Regions from separate parts of the Mus musculus genome. Here regions 1, 2, 4 and 5 are each reported to be linked to region 3. The links are microRNA targets in miRTarBase. Many come from high-throughput screens and were not tested one by one. Region 3 holds a microRNA gene; each other region holds the end of a gene's coding sequence.
What was found. Region 3 holds the annotated microRNA mmu-miR-24-3p (UGGCUCAGUUCAGCAGGAACAG, at 1,713-1,734, shown strand). A microRNA usually pairs through its seed, bases 2 to 8, with sites in the 3' UTR of a target mRNA and lowers its output. Matches are read on the target gene's strand: a 7mer-m8 pairs with bases 2 to 8, a 7mer-A1 pairs with bases 2 to 7 and ends in A, and an 8mer does both.

Region 1: miRTarBase lists Tmem69 as a target of mmu-miR-24-3p. Seed matches in the 3' UTR shown: 7mer-A1 at 2,532-2,538 and 8mer at 2,463-2,470.
Region 2: the mRNA of Mllt11 is a reported target of mmu-miR-24-3p. Seed matches in the 3' UTR shown: 7mer-A1 at 1,576-1,582.
Region 4: the mRNA of Ccser2 is a reported target of mmu-miR-24-3p. Seed matches in the 3' UTR shown: 7mer-A1 at 2,677-2,683.
Region 5: miRTarBase lists Tcaf1 as a target of mmu-miR-24-3p. The part of its 3' UTR that is shown has no 7-base or 8-base seed match.

Annotation. Positions count from the first base shown.
Region 1 is chr4:116,550,304-116,553,375 of GRCm38, forward strand. It overlaps Tmem69 (transmembrane protein 69), which reads right to left. Exons shown (of 3, transcript NM_177670.4): 3 at 1,225-3,072. The coding sequence ends at 2,731. Among named protein-coding and RNA genes, the nearest start is that of Tmem69, 4.1 kb to the right of the region's middle.
Region 2 is chr3:95,217,344-95,220,415 of GRCm38, forward strand. Mllt11 (myeloid/lymphoid or mixed-lineage leukemia; translocated to, 11) reads right to left here. Exons shown (of 2, transcript NM_019914.4): 2 at 1,201-3,072. The coding sequence ends at 2,842. It overlaps Gabpb2 (GA repeat binding protein, beta 2), which reads right to left and starts at 599. Exons shown (of 10, transcript NM_029885.1): 1 at 246-599. Gm16740 (predicted gene, 16740) reads left to right here and starts at 114. Exons shown (of 4, transcript NR_108026.1): 1 at 114-715; 2 at 2,096-2,206.
Region 3 is chr8:84,207,163-84,210,283 of GRCm38, forward strand. It overlaps Mir24-2 (microRNA 24-2), which reads left to right and starts at 1,653; the gene lies at 1,653-1,759. It overlaps Mir23a (microRNA 23a), which reads left to right and starts at 1,356; the gene lies at 1,356-1,430. It overlaps Mir27a (microRNA 27a), which reads left to right and starts at 1,510; the gene lies at 1,510-1,596. It overlaps Mir3074-2 (microRNA 3074-2), which reads right to left and starts at 1,745; the gene lies at 1,663-1,745.
Region 4 is chr14:36,876,840-36,879,911 of GRCm38, reverse strand. It overlaps Ccser2 (coiled-coil serine rich 2), which reads left to right. Exons shown (of 11, transcript NM_027045.1): 11 at 150-3,072. The coding sequence ends at 244. Among named protein-coding and RNA genes, the nearest start is that of Ccser2, 90 kb to the left of the region's middle.
Region 5 is chr6:42,670,586-42,673,657 of GRCm38, reverse strand. Tcaf1 (TRPM8 channel-associated factor 1) reads left to right here. Exons shown (of 9, transcript NM_001355769.1): 8 at 20-305. The coding sequence ends at 283. Among named protein-coding and RNA genes, the nearest start is that of Tcaf2, 27 kb to the right of the region's middle.

The sequences.
Region 1 (3,072 bases), not on the chromosome of region 3:
TCAATCATCGTCTGGAATAAAAATACTCTTACTCTAGTGTAACACTGAAAACATCTGAAAAGCACAGTCACTATCTTGATAGTTATTCTCATAGTAGGAATTAGTAGAAGAGAAAACGTGTGTGTGTGTGTGTGTGTGTGTGTGTGTGTGTGTGTGTGTGTATAATTTACTCATACAACTTGTAAAGTGGTGTTTGACTGCTTATATCAAAGATATAACATTCAAAAATAATTTCCTTTGATTTACAGTTACACAACATAATCTCTGATCCTCCTGCCTTGACCTCCTAAGTGCTAGGATTGAACACTTGTGTTATCACTCCCAGCCTGTGGGGTACTGGAGAGCAAACTGAGGGCTTTGCATGATAAGCAAGTATTTTATCCACCAAGCCACATTCCCAAGCCCCCAGACTAGGTTTTCAAGTTAAAATCTGAATTGTTGGCCTGTTCGTATATTGCTCAGTAGCTGTGCTTGTACAGAATGTAGGAGGCACTAGGTTCAAGCCATACTACTATGGGAGGAGGGAAAGCAAACCAAGCAATGCTTTTTGCCATTGTTTAATTTATTTCTCTGTGTAGTACTGGCTGTCCTGGAACTTGCTAAGTATATAACGCTGATCTATGTAGTTTACAATGCCTGATCATGTTTTAATATTTGAAAATTTTTATTTTAGTGTATATGAGTATTTTATCTGAATATATGTCTATGTACCACATACTTGTCTTGTGCCCAAGAAGGCCACATCCAAACCCCAAGAACTTGTTAGCACAGTGCAGGTACTGACAATTGAACATGGTTTCTCTAGCAGAGAAGGGGGTGCTCTCAACCACTAAGCCATGTATGTCTCTAGCCCTTTTGCTATTATTTTAAAAGCTTCTGTAGGTTAAATGTGGTCAGAAAACACCAAACAAAAGCTTAGACATGTGAACAGCCTTTCTGTGAGTGGCTTTCCTTATTCCACTATTGCCTACCACCTTGAGAGCCACAGGTCATTTCACTTCATAAAACTAAGTTATGTCAGGTAAAATACACTTAGACAAACCAGGTGTCATGCCACACGCCTTTAATTCTAGCACGTTAGAAACAAAGACAGGCAGACGTCTATATGCTCCAGGCTACCATGGCCTACATAGTGAGTTTCAGTAAAGCCAGAGCTACATAGTAAGGCCCTGTCTCAAAAAAACAAACAAACAAACAAAAGAAACAAAGGCTTAGACAATCCAGAAGTGCTAAAAAAACTTGACAGCAATACTTTTATTTTTAAGGTTCTTAGTAGTGCCTTAGATTCCCATCGCTGTGAGGAGACACCATGACCAAGGCAACTCTTATAAAGGACAACATTTAATTGGGGCTGGCTTACAGGTTCAGAGGTTCAGTTCATTATCATCAAGGCAGGAGCATGGCAGCACTGGCACTGCTGAGAGTCCTACATCTTGTACCAAAGGCAACCAGGAGAAGACTGTCTTCAGGGCAGCTAGGAGGAGGGTCTCAAAGCCTACCCCCACAGTGACACATCCTCCAACAAGGCCACACATCTAATAGTGCCACTCTCTGGGCCAAACAGATTCAAACACATGAGTCTATGGGAGCCAAATCTCTTCAAACCACAAGTAGGATTCTTTTCATGAAATATGACTTCATGATTGCTAGATTCTAATACAGGATTTTTCATCTTTTACTTTTCTCAGTATAATCAAAACACTGAAATGTTTAGGTACATGACTATACAATTCACAGACACACAAAAATGTAAACTAACCTTATATGACATAATAAGGATTAGGACATTTTTCAAAATAAGTTACTTTGAAATAATTTTTTTTTTTTAAAGATTTATTTATTTATTATATGTAAGTACATTGTAGCTGTCTTCAGACACTCCAGAAGAGGGAATCAGATCTCGTTACAGATGGTTGTGAGCCACCATGTGGTTGCTGGGATTTGAACTCTGGACCTTCGGAAGAGCAGTCGGGTGCTCTTACCCACTGAGCCATCTCACCAGCCCTGAAATAATTTTTATAATCCCAACACTCAGGAGGCAAAGGCAGGTGGATATCTGTAACTTTTTGAGACAGGGTTTCTCTGTGTAGCCTTGGCTCTCCTGAAACTCTCTTTATAGACCAGGCTGGCCTCGAACTCAGAGATCCACCTGCCTCTGCCTCCTTTCTTCTAGGATAAAAGGTGTGTACTACCGCCATCTGGCTAAAAGAAATACTCTTTAGAAAACAAAAACAAAAACTATGTATGAAGAATAAATTCCTACCTGTGGGGGGGTGGGGGTGGGGAGGAAGGAGCCAAAGGAGGAACATAATTGTGATGCTAAAATGCAGCTTTACAGGATAAGAGATACAGGCTCAATGCTCAAGACTATGTACTGCTCTAGACCCAAGTTTAGCTCCCAGCCTAGATATTGAGTAGCTCAGAACTGTCTGTAAAGCTAGCTCCAGGGGTCTCTGGAGAGATGGCTCAGTGGTTAAGAGCACTGACTGCTCTTCCAGAGGTCCTGAGTTCAATTCCCAGCAACCACATGGTGGCTCACAACCATCTGCAATGGGCATCTGATGCCCACCTCTGGTGTGTTTGAAGACAGCTACAGTGTACTCATATAAAATAAACAAATATTTCTTCAAAACAAAACAAAAAAAAAAAGCTAGCTTCAGGGGATTCAACAGTCTTCTGGCCTCCACAGACACTGTAAATAATACCAAGAAAGTATTTTTATATTTCTATTTAATCGGGTCTCTTGGGCCCTTTTTCTGGATAAATATTTTCAAGTATTAAAGTGACTACAAATGAGATAAAAGCCACTAAAGTACTTACAATCCTTAAGGCTTTGAACCAGTTGGGATAATGTGGTAAGAGGAAAAGTTCATTGTGTAATGCTATCCCTAAACCTATTATTAATGTGACTATGGCTTCATTGAGTCTTTCAGAAAATAGGATGGCTGCCCATGAAAACAGAATAGGACTCATACTGCTAGCTAAATTAATGTAGTCTGGTTTGGCTGGACTACTTTCTGGCAGAACAAAACCCCATCTGATCCCTCCCAAGAAAGCTAGGAAACCGGCTCC
Region 2 (3,072 bases), not on the chromosome of region 3:
GCTTCCCGGAGTCCAGCTCCCCAGCCCCAGGTCTTCCACCCACCCCCTTCACCTCCCAGTCCCCTCCCCTTCCTCCCGACAGCATCCCCTTCCTCTTGGTCCCTCTCCCCCCCGCCGCCACCCCCGCTCCGGCAGTGTGCAGGCCGGCGCCCACAGGTCCTGGCCGGGCTGGGCCGGCCACTTATCACTGCCCCTTGCATCGCAGTTCGGAAGCTCCGGAACCCTGCGTGTCCTTTCCCCCTCACCTATTCCGGAGCGCTGCCGGCTTCGCTCTCACTGGGCCCGCCAGTTTGGTCCCGTTTCTTTCTCTAGTTAAGACTCCTTGCCAGCGGCCTCACTTTTCGGCCTTTTCACATATGCATATTTGGGGGGGCCCTTACCCCCCCTCACGGAGAAATGGAGGCAATAAAATGGCGGACCCGGAAGTGAAGGCGCTGTGACTATACGTCCTGGCGGAGGAATCTGAAGGAAATGGGTTAGCGGAGCCACTTTGCCCTTCTCTCAGGACCTCAACGCACCTCTGAGTCCGACTCCTTCCTACTGAGGACCTCGTGAGCTGGAAAAACGTATACCGCGGGCATCCTGAGCGGGACTACTTAGCGAGGCGCAGGATCACCGATTACGTGGCTTACGTGAGGGATAGTTCCGGCAGGGGACGGACGCAGATGGTAGTTTTGGCGCCAACCAGTGCAGCGCTCGGAGGAACTGGTTACTGGTGCGTGTTGGCGTCCGCACTCTACCTTCCTGCTGGTTCAACGCCGGGCTAACTTGAGGGTTGGGGGAGAATCTTGCTTCCGCTATTCGGGACCTTCTGGTTATGCACTCCTGTCTGACCGGACACTTTCCCAGTGTCCTGAATATAGGTCAGGAAAGAACCCCTGAACTTTTGGGGGGAAGACTAGAATAGGATGGGACATGAAATTGCATGTCTTTCATTTACCAGTCTATCTTGGTTTCTGTTCACCATTTTAACTGATATAAGGACCGAGAGAAAGCTCGGAGAAAACCTTTCAAAAATCAATAACAGGACGCTGGAGCAATGCCTTAGGAGACCCCAGTTCAATTCCCAGCACCCACATTGCAGCTTACAACTGCCTTTAACTCCAAGATCTGACACCCTCACACAAGCAAGCATACATTTAGGCAAAACACCAATGCACACTAAAAATTAAAATCAGTAATAATAACAAACACGCCTTTGATCACAGCAGGAGGCACAGGTCTCCTAATTTAATACCAAAGTGCTAGGCCCACCCTAGCAGAGTCCAGCAGAGTCAGGTGGATTTCTCTGAGTTCAAGGCCCGCCTCCGAAGAAAACCACACAAATTTAAAAGTTAATAATGGGCTGGGGGGCGTGGCTAATCTCTGAGCACTGGCTGCTTACAGGGGAACCCTAGCAGGGCCTTGTAGATGCTTGGCAAGCCCTTCTACCATTGAGCTATGTCCAAATCCTAAATTGTTCTTCAAAGTCAAATATTAGACAGACAGAAGGAAGCGCTGGAGAGATGACTCAGTGGTTAAGAGCACTGACTGCTCTTCCAGAGGTCCTGAGTTCAATCCCCACCAACCACATGTTGGCTCACTTGTAATGGGACCCAATGCCCTCTTCTGGTGTGTCTGAAGAGTGCAACAGTGTACTCATATATAGTATAGTAAATCTTTTTAAAATAAAAAGAAAAGCTTCACTTAAAAAAAAAAAGAAAGAAAAAAAGATAAAAGGGAAAGCTGGATTCGGAAGTGTGAGTAAAATCTGTAGTACTTCATTGGAATGGAAAAAACTAAGCCCCAGACTTAGGATTTAACGTCTTTATTCCATAAATGAATAAACAGCTCCGCAATTCATCTGCAATAGCTTTGGAAGGAATGGGGACGGGTAGGGTCTGAACATAACTGCTTACTTCACGGTCTTATGGCGGCCAAAGAACTGTGTCAGGAATCACTGATTCCTATCACATACTGCAACTACAGAAAGGCAAAGCTAAAATACTTAGGACCAAAACATCTGCCTGTTCCATGACAAAATCACAATTTTATATAAATTCCCCTAATAATACTCTGGTGTTTCTTTAGATCAGATACATCTTTTGTCTTTTAGGAATTATCCTCATAGTGAAGTTTCCCTGTGAAGACTCAAATCTGATTTTCTGAGCATTTCTACCCACAGCTGGAAGCAGAGCTGGATATTAAAGGAGCTACCTCTGAAACGGTGCGATGTTTTTCCTCATCCCACTCCTTTGTTTCCCACCTTTAACTGCCTGCGTGTTTCTGGGGAAGAGAATGCATTGTAAGCAGCAGCAGCATTTCTTATCTTAGCCTTTTAGAAATCCTGTTTTGTAGAAAGTGTCTCAAAACTTCCAGGTTCTCATTACTTCTTGAAGCAGTATTTGCTTACTGGCCTGGTAGAGGACATTAGGGAGGCTCAAGTAATCTTTGAAGTTGATTAAAATGTAACAAACAAACAAAATAATTGGTCTCCCATTTTGCACAACTGTACCTCTCTGTGGTGCCTCAAATAAGGGTGATTCTTTTCTGGGATTAGTTAATATTCTCCGGGCTGACGGGAGGAAATCCTATGATCTAGTACTCCATTGATTAAACCCTTGACTTTGTGCCTAGAGGGCTTTTGAGAGAAACGGAGTAGGCAGATAAATAAATAAATAAATAAATATAGATAGATAAATAAGTACGTACATACATACAAACCTACAATTCAATTGGCAGATTCATCAGCACCACCAGCACAATAGAGGGAAGAGAACAAGATTAAAGTGGAAGGCTTAGAGAGGAAGGGACTTAAGAGGGAAGATAATGAAGGTACGGGGTGGGAGAGAGATCTTGGCCTTAAAGCAAGTCCAGGTCGACAGAGTGGATGCTGGCAATAGGCGCTCTCCAGAAGTTGAAGGTGCTGTACTCAAGGAGGGGGTCACCTTCAGGGTTCTTCTGCTCCGTCCCAGATGCCTGCCCGTTCATTTTGCCAACGCTGCTGCTATCCTTGCTCTCGTAGGTAGGTGTATCTGACAGGCCCAGGCCTTCCAGCTCCGACAGATCCAGTTCTGGGATGGGCATCCTCCA
Region 3 (3,121 bases):
GTGGGGAGCGTTGGAGCTCTTGGGAATGGAGCTATAGATAGCTGTGCTTGTCATGTAGGTTCTGGGAAAGAAACCTGTCATCTCTCCAACATTGAAATTCTTTAAACAATTTTTAAAAATTGTGTGTGTGTGTTCCCAAGTGCAGAGATCAGAGGACAACTTGCAAGGGTCCGTATGCTTTTCTTCTTCGTGGTTCTTGGGTTTGAGCTCAGGGCATTGGGCTCCATAGCAGCTCTGCTCACTTGCTGGATCAGCTTGCTGGCCCCTGAAAACTTTAACTGGCACGCAGGACACTACTCTACATTGGGTAGGCCCCAAATTTTGTGGCTTGCCCTGGTACTGGGTGCTAAATACCTTCTCTGTAAGTTTTCACTGGCCTTCCTAGTAGAAGGTTTGGGGTTTTGTTGTTTTATTTTTGTTTTTCTTCTATTTAAGACTAGGGTCTCAAACTGTAGCCCAGTTAGGCCTAAAACTCATCATGTAGCTTAAGCAGGCTTTTGACTCCATTCTTGGCAACCTTCCTGCCTCAGTTTCCTCAATGCTGAGATAAACGTGAGCCACCAACTGCAACTGTTGTAGTCTGCTTTACAGATGGGGAAACTGAGGCTTGGAAGGCCTAGGGGAAACTTTACTGAGGTGTTATTGTTGGGGTGCATCGGCCTGCTTCTCCTTGCTTGGGCCCTAGGTGGTGTGGGGTGGGGGTGGGGTTATGTCTGAGCTGGCTGGGGAGGAGAGGGCTGAGGTGGGAGGCCCTGGAGTTTCCTCCTGCCCTTCAGGCTTCTAGGAAGTGGCGCCAGCTGGGGTGAGGTCACTTCCTCCCTCCAACCGTCCACCTCCCTCAGCTTCCTCTCCATGGCCCCATTTGGCCTGCTTTGGGCTCAGGGCTGTGGGTGGGGATAGAAGCAGAGTGGGAAGCAGCTGGGAAGGCTCTGCAGCCCCTTTGGCCTTAGGGCTTCAGGCACCTCCCGCTTTGTAGGGCTGGGGTAGAGGCACTGCTGGGTGCCCAGCATCCAGCAGCCTCGCTCCAACCTTCCTACGGATCGATGCTCCTCTTTTTTGGGAATGCTTCTTCCCTCTTGGAAGTAGAGGAGGGCTAGGGTGTGGATCAGCAAGCTGAGTTTAGATTCTGTCCCCAGCACCACTTAAACTGTGTGTGGTGAGGTGTACCTATAATCCTAGACTCCAGAGGTAGAGGCAGGAAGAACTGGTGCATTCGGAAACCTTGTGTTCAGCTATGTGAGACCCAGCCTGGTCAAGATAGGCAGGCAAGCAAGAATGCTCCAATCTCACTGTCTCTTCTTTCTCTCTTTAGGTGCTACACTCCGCTCCCACCTGCTGCCCCCCTCACTGTGCCTCGGACGGCTGGGGTTCCTGGGGATGGGATTTGATGCCAGTCACAAATCACATTGCCAGGGATTTCCAACTGACCCTGTGCTCTGCCTTGGGGGCTCCTGTCGCCAAGGATGTCTGTCTTGGGTACTGGGTAACAGAGAAGCCTATCATGACAACTGGCCTGAGGAGCAGGGCTTAGCTGCTTGTGAGCAAGGTCCACAGCAAAGTCGTGTTCACAGTGGCTAAGTTCCGCCCCCTGGACCCCATCTCCTCAGGCCGCTGCTGCCCACCCTGCTCTGCCTCCTGGCTGGCAGGGCTCTGCCTCTCTCCGGGCTCCGCCTCCCGTGCCTACTGAGCTGAAACAGTTGATTCCAGTGCACTGGCTCAGTTCAGCAGGAACAGGAGTCCAGCCCCCTAGGAGCTGGCAACCCTGCAGAATGTCTGCCGTGAGCAAGACCTGGAAACAATGGGGTAATTAGTCCAACCTAAGCCCCGTTGTCTGCTGGAGGCTCAGCCTCTAAGCCTGCATCTGGGTGTCCACCTTGAGATTTCTGTGGTTCCCCAAAGCAGATAGATGGGCGGGTAACCCTTGCATTAAAAGCCAGTTATGTCCCCTCAGGGCCTGGAAGCCCTTCTTTTCCTAAGTCTGGTGGGGCTCAGGCACCACCCCTTATACATACCATCTTTGAAGTCAGTTACCCAAGAGGAAGCTGCTTTAGGCCCTCTAACGGTTAAATGCCAACTCTCTGCTTCCGGAAGAAGGCACTGACCTGATCCAGTGTGCCTAGCAATCCCATGGGGTCTGCAGCTTTCTGCTGGTGACAGCGAGGCAGGGAGCGAGGTCCACACAGGCCTCAGGATATGAACAGATCCATGCCCCCCCCCCCCATTGGCCTGTTGAAGTAATCTCCAGGCTTGGAAGTTAAAAAGTTGCCTACTACCCACAAATGAGACTGCATGCAGACTAATTGGAACTGGCTGAGTTACACTTCCCAGACCATACAGTGTCCTCTCCCTACTCTGGGCAGGGGCAAATCGAAGCCTGGGTGGAAGAACAGAGTTGAAAGCTTGTATTGAATGTTGTTCTCCAACTAAATAAAAGCTCCACAGCCTCATTCCGTAAGGGCTGACGTCTCTTCATTCCCGCCTCCCACATGTGTGTTGCTGGCTTTTTTCATTTCTCTTGAAACAGCATTTCTGTGTAGACCAGGCTGACCTTGAATCAAACTCCTCCAGTGTCTGGAGTTTGGGAATACCAGCTGCACCACTATATCTACCACACCCTGGGCTCCTAACCTGCATTGCACCTATCCCCAACCTTGCTCCACCTGCTTCTAGGAAGGTGTAAATATAGTTCTGTGGTCAGTAGGTGCTGCGACCTGAAGATCCTGGGATCCTTTGGGGATGGCTTGAACGGGAGGGATAACCCAGACCTGGGGTGTATGAGACCAATCTGTGGTCACCCCAGTTCCATGAGGGAGTATGTTACAAGAATGTACTCTGCCTATGCTGGGATGCACTGACTGGCAAGATGCCAGGGCTTAAGGACGGGCACATATGCGCGCACAGACAGACACGCGCGCATGCACACACACACACACACACACACACACAGGGCTTAAGGACGGGCACATATGCGAGCACAGACAGACACGCGCGCATGCACACACACACGCACGCGCGCGCGCCCGTCTACACACACACACACACACACACACACACACACACACACGCACGCACGCACGCACGCGCGCGCGCCCGTCTGCGCCAGAAGGGCTAAGGGGCGGAT
Region 4 (3,072 bases), not on the chromosome of region 3:
GCTTGGATATTGCAATTCATTCTTTAAAAAATCATATATTTTCCATATTAAAGTATAAGTGGCAATTTTGCCTAATTATAATTAAACTTGTATTAATTCTTGGTAAATTTTTAATATAAATTATTGGTGATGTTTTTAAATTTTAACAGCCTCAAGTACTACAGCCTTCCAGCAGCCTTCCCAGATCTACAGACCACGCCCAGGGAAAACTAATAAAGCCACAACGTACCGAGGCCCACAGTGACTACACAGTTCAAGGCGTGTGTCCGGGTGGTGCGCATCCAGATGGAAGCTGTACACATGGCTTGCAACAGGACAACAGCCGTGGTTTGCAAGAGCGTCCTTCTTCGTCAAGCCCGCAGTTGACAGTGGATGTGGTGAAGTACATACCTTCTGAAACGGACCTGAGCATGACTCTGGATGCTCAAGAGCCTCATCATTTGGCAGAGAAAAAACCTAGTGACTTGCAGTTTGTAACTCCTCCTCCTCAGACCCCTTCCCAGTCAAGTACAGTGGACCAGACTAAGAGGGGTGGAAGAAACCAATGTCCTCAGCCCAAGTCCTTGCAGCTTTTAAAGCCATCCAACTTGAGTTCTTTGACACCTCCTCCAGATTCTGACTCCTCACCAAGTAGAACTTCCACATGTAAGAAGGCACCAGGAATCACACCATGCCATTCAAAACATCAGCCAACATCGAATCAAAACAATCCTGCAAATCATTTGAATCTGAAAACGTCTAAACTCCGTCCCCCTTCTGGCTCTTTCAAGCAAAAACAAATAAGTAACCCCCAAGTAGAGCCTCAGAACTTCCAGGCCAAGACAAGCATCCCAAGGCCATTAGCACGGCCAAAAGAGCTGCATGCTCCACACAGCGGTTTGCATTCTGGGGATTGTGTGGCCTCTAATCGATATTCTCGTCTTCCTAAACCAAAGATACATTAAGTGCATAGCCATCACCTGCCAATTTGTTTTTTGAAAACAGTCTGCTCTCTAATAGCTTTATGTGCAGCTTATTACTATGTTGGAGGTTCCATTTCAGCAAATCTTAAAATTAAAATGCAGAAGCTTCTATTAGTTTGGTTCTTCCATTTTGTATCCTGGCTGAATTACATACCATTTGCACATACTTGTCTCAGGTAAACACAAGTTTACTTATCCATCTCAGAGGCCCAAGTCCCTCCTCATGCTATCCAGCCTTCTCTCTACATACCAGAAAAGTCAAAATATTCCATGTATCAGGCAGGATGTGTACTTGGCTGATGTAGTCCTGTTGTGGTTATCAGAATCTCACCCCGATGCTTATTCTTCTTGTGAGTATGGCTGCTATTTTAACTAAAGATTCAAAGTGACGGTGGAAGGTAGCTGTCTGTAAGCAGGGTTCTGGCCAGGTTTTGTGTATTTAGGAAGTCTATGCAAAAGGTCCCCAGTGAGGAAAGACCAGGCTTTTAGTGGGGGAGTCCTTAGTAGTTTCATCTCTCCTTTCTAGGATCAGTAATCTAGTCCTACTGCTTCTCCATTTATCAGACAAATTCCCATGCTGACAGTTGTCATATTTTATGTAAACCAGTTATATGTTGCTGTAACATCTTGTTTTACGTACACATTTACTCTTTGCTTATATTGCTACTGGGTAGATTTGGAGAGCTGGAGATGCCTATGGCATATCAGTTGTAAACTCTGTTGGTGCTAGAGTTTTGTGCTGGTAATTGAGTTTTGAATCTTATTAACTTATGGATCCATCATACTTTCAAGTTTCCATAACATACATTGGAAATTTAAAATTATAATAATATTTGTATTTATTGACTTTTTCCTAGTGTCTGAAGACTAGAATAATGGACTTGAAATATTTGCACAAAATTTTGATGAGATATAAAAGAGGGTTTTAAAGCTTATTTTCTATAAAAAATGAGTTAAAACACTTTAAGAGAAATATATAAATTTAAGACTATCATAAGTCACTTTTTGGGTTTCCTAAGTTTCTCTTTTCTGTTGGTGGAAGGTTGAATGACAGTTTCTTGAAAAGTAGATTTGGGGGAAATTAAGTTGTAGGTAGGAAAGAATACTTTCTTAAGAGAGATTGCTCCAGATGTCCTATGGAAGGTAGCTGTGGGTTAAGAGAGATTGTTCTAGATGTGGCTGTGGGCCTCCAAGTGACCATGTACAGGAACCCAGCTGGGCTTCTGGCAACTTCACAAGCAGTTGAGTGAATTTACCTCATGTTTGCCCAAATCATGCCATCTTTAGGCTGGTCATAATTTGTTTAATTCATAGTAAGATTTCTCAGAAAGATAACCTTACAAGATCAGTATCTGATTAGCTGACCAAAAATGCATCAAAAGGAATTATGGCCAAAAAAATTAAATGTCTATGGCTTCCTTTTTAAATGTATCTAGGTTACAAAGAGAAACGTGGTATCAAGTGCATTAGTGCAAAGTTACAAAGTCACATTTGCTGCGGTTTGGGGGGGCGGCAGTCTTCCCTTAAATGTCAGAACCCCTCATGTGGATTTGTCTTTTGGAGAGGCAGACCTTTTTCCAGTTTGGGAACAGACGAGCATAGTCTCACACCACAGCACGTTAGTCAGAGGAAGCTCAGGACAGGCTGTGCATGGGTTAGACGGTACTGGGTCATTGCTGCTGTGGCAAAAGCACTTATTCTTCCTTCATGACAGTGAGCCAGGTTGGCTACAGGGGTATATGCTTTCTCCTTACGGAGAATGAAAACGAATCTCATGTATCGCACATCAGCTACAATCATACTCTATGCCCTGCAATAGAACATACTAATTAATGTATTAGGGTTTTGTTTTTTTAATTAGAGACTTTTATAGACTTTATGGAATACTTCTACAAATTGGTTTATCCTTGAAGGAAAGTTTTTTAAAATTTATTTATAACCCACTTGTCTGAGGGAAATGTCTTTGTTGTCTGTTTTGTTACAGTGTTGACTCCAATAATTTCTTTATTCTAATCTTTGGCCTACTTTAATTTTTTCTCCCTGATAAATTTGTAGAAATATTTATCCAGCAGTTCACCCTCTCTATACCTTTGTTGGGCCTTAGTCTTAA
Region 5 (3,072 bases), not on the chromosome of region 3:
TCCAACTTTCCCTTTCTAGCTCCAAGAGGCCTTTGGTTGGGAGCCATTTATTCGTCTCTTCACCGAGTACAGAAACCAGACAACATCGAGCTCGCCGCCCTCAGACAACGTCGACAAAATGAATCTATGGGTCAAGATGTTCTCCCAGCAAGTGCAGAGGAATCTGGCTCCATTCTTTGAGGCCTGGGGCTGGCCTATCCAGAAGGAAGTGGCTACAAGCTTAGCCTATCTGCCCGAATGGAAAGAGAATATAATGAAATTGTACCTCCTCACACAGATGTAAGGAGTGCCCATCGAGGTGGCAGGTAGAGAGGCTTGGGGTGGTAGGCAGAGATGGGGGTTTACTCCTCTACCTCTGTCTTCTAAAGTTCTGGCTTTCTCCTTTTAATTCATTGCTCCTGTGTCTTATTACCGACTTCTGTCTCTAGGAAGTGGGTTAAAAACACAGCACAAAATGAAGCCAGAATTTCTTAGGAACGAGGTCTGTGCTTATGAGCCCGACCCCTCTGCTTCTCAGTTGTCAGGTACCCTGCTGACCCTGTATTGGCCTAGTGCTGGGAGCTTGGGAATTTGTTTCTATCCAGCCTTCTTGATGAGCCATAGAGGGCAATCCTTCCCTTGGCTTCCTTGGCTTCGGGATAGATATAAAAGTCTCTGCTTCTTGTGGTGGACATGGAGAGTCTGGCTGATGGTTTTAAAGAAGCTTGTGGACTTTATGGTGTATGCCAATGGAAGGGTTCTTCCACTTCATGCTGGATTATTAGCTCCCACAGCTCAGAAGTTCACATCAGCCTTTCTCTTAGACTCCTTCTGCCCAAATTCTAGGTCTTTAATTGACCATTTGTATGTTACCAGCAAGAACCTTGCCTTCTCCATGACTCTATGGCCTCATTCTATACATTGGGATCTATTTCATATGGGTTTTTGGAGTTGTACAGTGCCTCTAAAAGTGATTACAGAGGCTAGTGGGTATTGAGAAAACATCATTTGTCATTTTTGTTATTTAACCCAACAACATTCTGGACCTAAACTTTTATTTTAGATACTATAAACAGATAGTCATAAACTTTTAATTTTTCAACTGATAAATATAAAGCTCACATCTATTAGCAAGATACCATTCAATATGGATATATATTTTTAATACTTGAATTAGGCAAAGCATATCTGTCTCCTCCAATATCTATCATTTCTCCAGACCAAGCACATTCACAATCATTTGTTATTGTTTTTGTTTTTGTTTTTGTTTTTGTTTTGTTTTGTTTTGTTTTGTTTTGTTTTTAAATACACAGTACATAACTGTTATGGAGTGCCAGAGAGAGGGCTCAGTGTGTAAAGACACTTGCCACCAAGACCTCAAACATGAGTTCAATCCTCAGAACTGGAAAAGTGGAAGAAGAGACCTAACTCTTGCATGTTGTCCTCTGACCTCCACAAGTGGTCTGTGATCCATTCACAAACACACTAAATCAACTTAAAAGAAGGAACTGCTATCTGCCCTACCCTATCCTGTATGATACTTTTCACCCTCTAAAGTAATTCTGGTACATTGTTTTATGAATCTAAAGGAAGGATTCTAAACTTACATTGGAGTATTTTCCTGGCTGCTTGAGACAATGCCTCTCTGTGATAGGTAGGGCTTTTTTACTTCAAAAGCAATGCTCTTTCATTCTTGCCATTAAGAGCTGTGTTACAGGTGTGCACAGCCACACCCGAGTTCACAATGTAGGCCTTTTCCTTTTATCTTTTACAGCTACTTAGATATGGCCTCTTTACCTAGTTCTTTCAGCTTAAATTCCCACTTTGATAAAATCCAGAGAAGAGATTTTCACAAAAACTAGAACAATCCTAAGATAAGTGTTTAACCATCAATAGACATTTTTTAGAAAACAATAGACACCCAGCTTTTAAATGGTATTTATATTCCCATAGTGAGATATTTAAGATATAATTGCTGTGGGGGTTTATTGACTATACATATATAAAAACTTCAGTTTGGGACAAGAAATTCCACAGAGCTAACACAACTTTTATTTAATTGCTATACATTCAAAGATCTCTTGGTTTTCCCCCATTTCATTTCAAGTTTCTTTTATGAGTTTTAATTAATGTTATATCTAAGATTGATGTTGTACACAACTGGCTTTCTGATTTCTTTTTTTTAATTTATTTTAGTATAATCTGTTTTATTTACATAGCTTGTAAGTGGGTGAATGCAGAGACTATAAGACATTTATGTGTGTGTTTGTGTATGTGTGTGTGTGTGTGTCTTTATTGTACAAATTCTTAATCCTATATTTATTTCATATTTATATATACATATATATGTATCATATAGGGATTTTAAATATCTTTAAAATAATTATTATCAATTATCACATATTGATAATATGTGTATGTGCCAGGCATTATATTGGTCCCTATATATAGGCTATGCTATTTAATTGTCCCAATAGTCTTATGAAGTAGAAATTATTATTACTCTTATTTTAGGATAAAAGAGCTGACTTTTATGGAGATTAAGTAAATTATGTAAGACTCTACTGCTAATAATGATAGGCCTATGATTATGAAGCCATGCACTATGATTGCAGAATGGGTATTAATAATTATAGTGCTTCAAATAACCAAATAAAAAACCAAATCAACAACACAGAACATTTATACTCCTGCTTGCCAGAGTCTGGGCTCTTTATACTTAGCCTCTATCTAACCTTAGCAGGACAAAAAGACTCTCTGTTTCTCCCAAACATCAGTAGACAGGAAGAATTTAAATCAGGCTCCTAAAGTGCTTCCAGTACAAAAGAGTGAGCCATTAGCATCAGGCGACTCTTCTAGGTTCTGATTATTTAGATTGTCATTCTCCCTTGGGTACCATAAAAGCAATTTTTGGTTTATTAGATTTTAAATAATGTAGCTTATTATTGAAGTCCCTGACTTCCCAAAGTCCTAGATGCTTCATTTTCTCAGAAAGACAATAAGATCTTTAATCTTTTTTTCTCTTTTTATTTTTTATTAGATATTTTCTTCATTTACATTTCAAATGCTATCCCCAAAGCCCCCTATAACCCC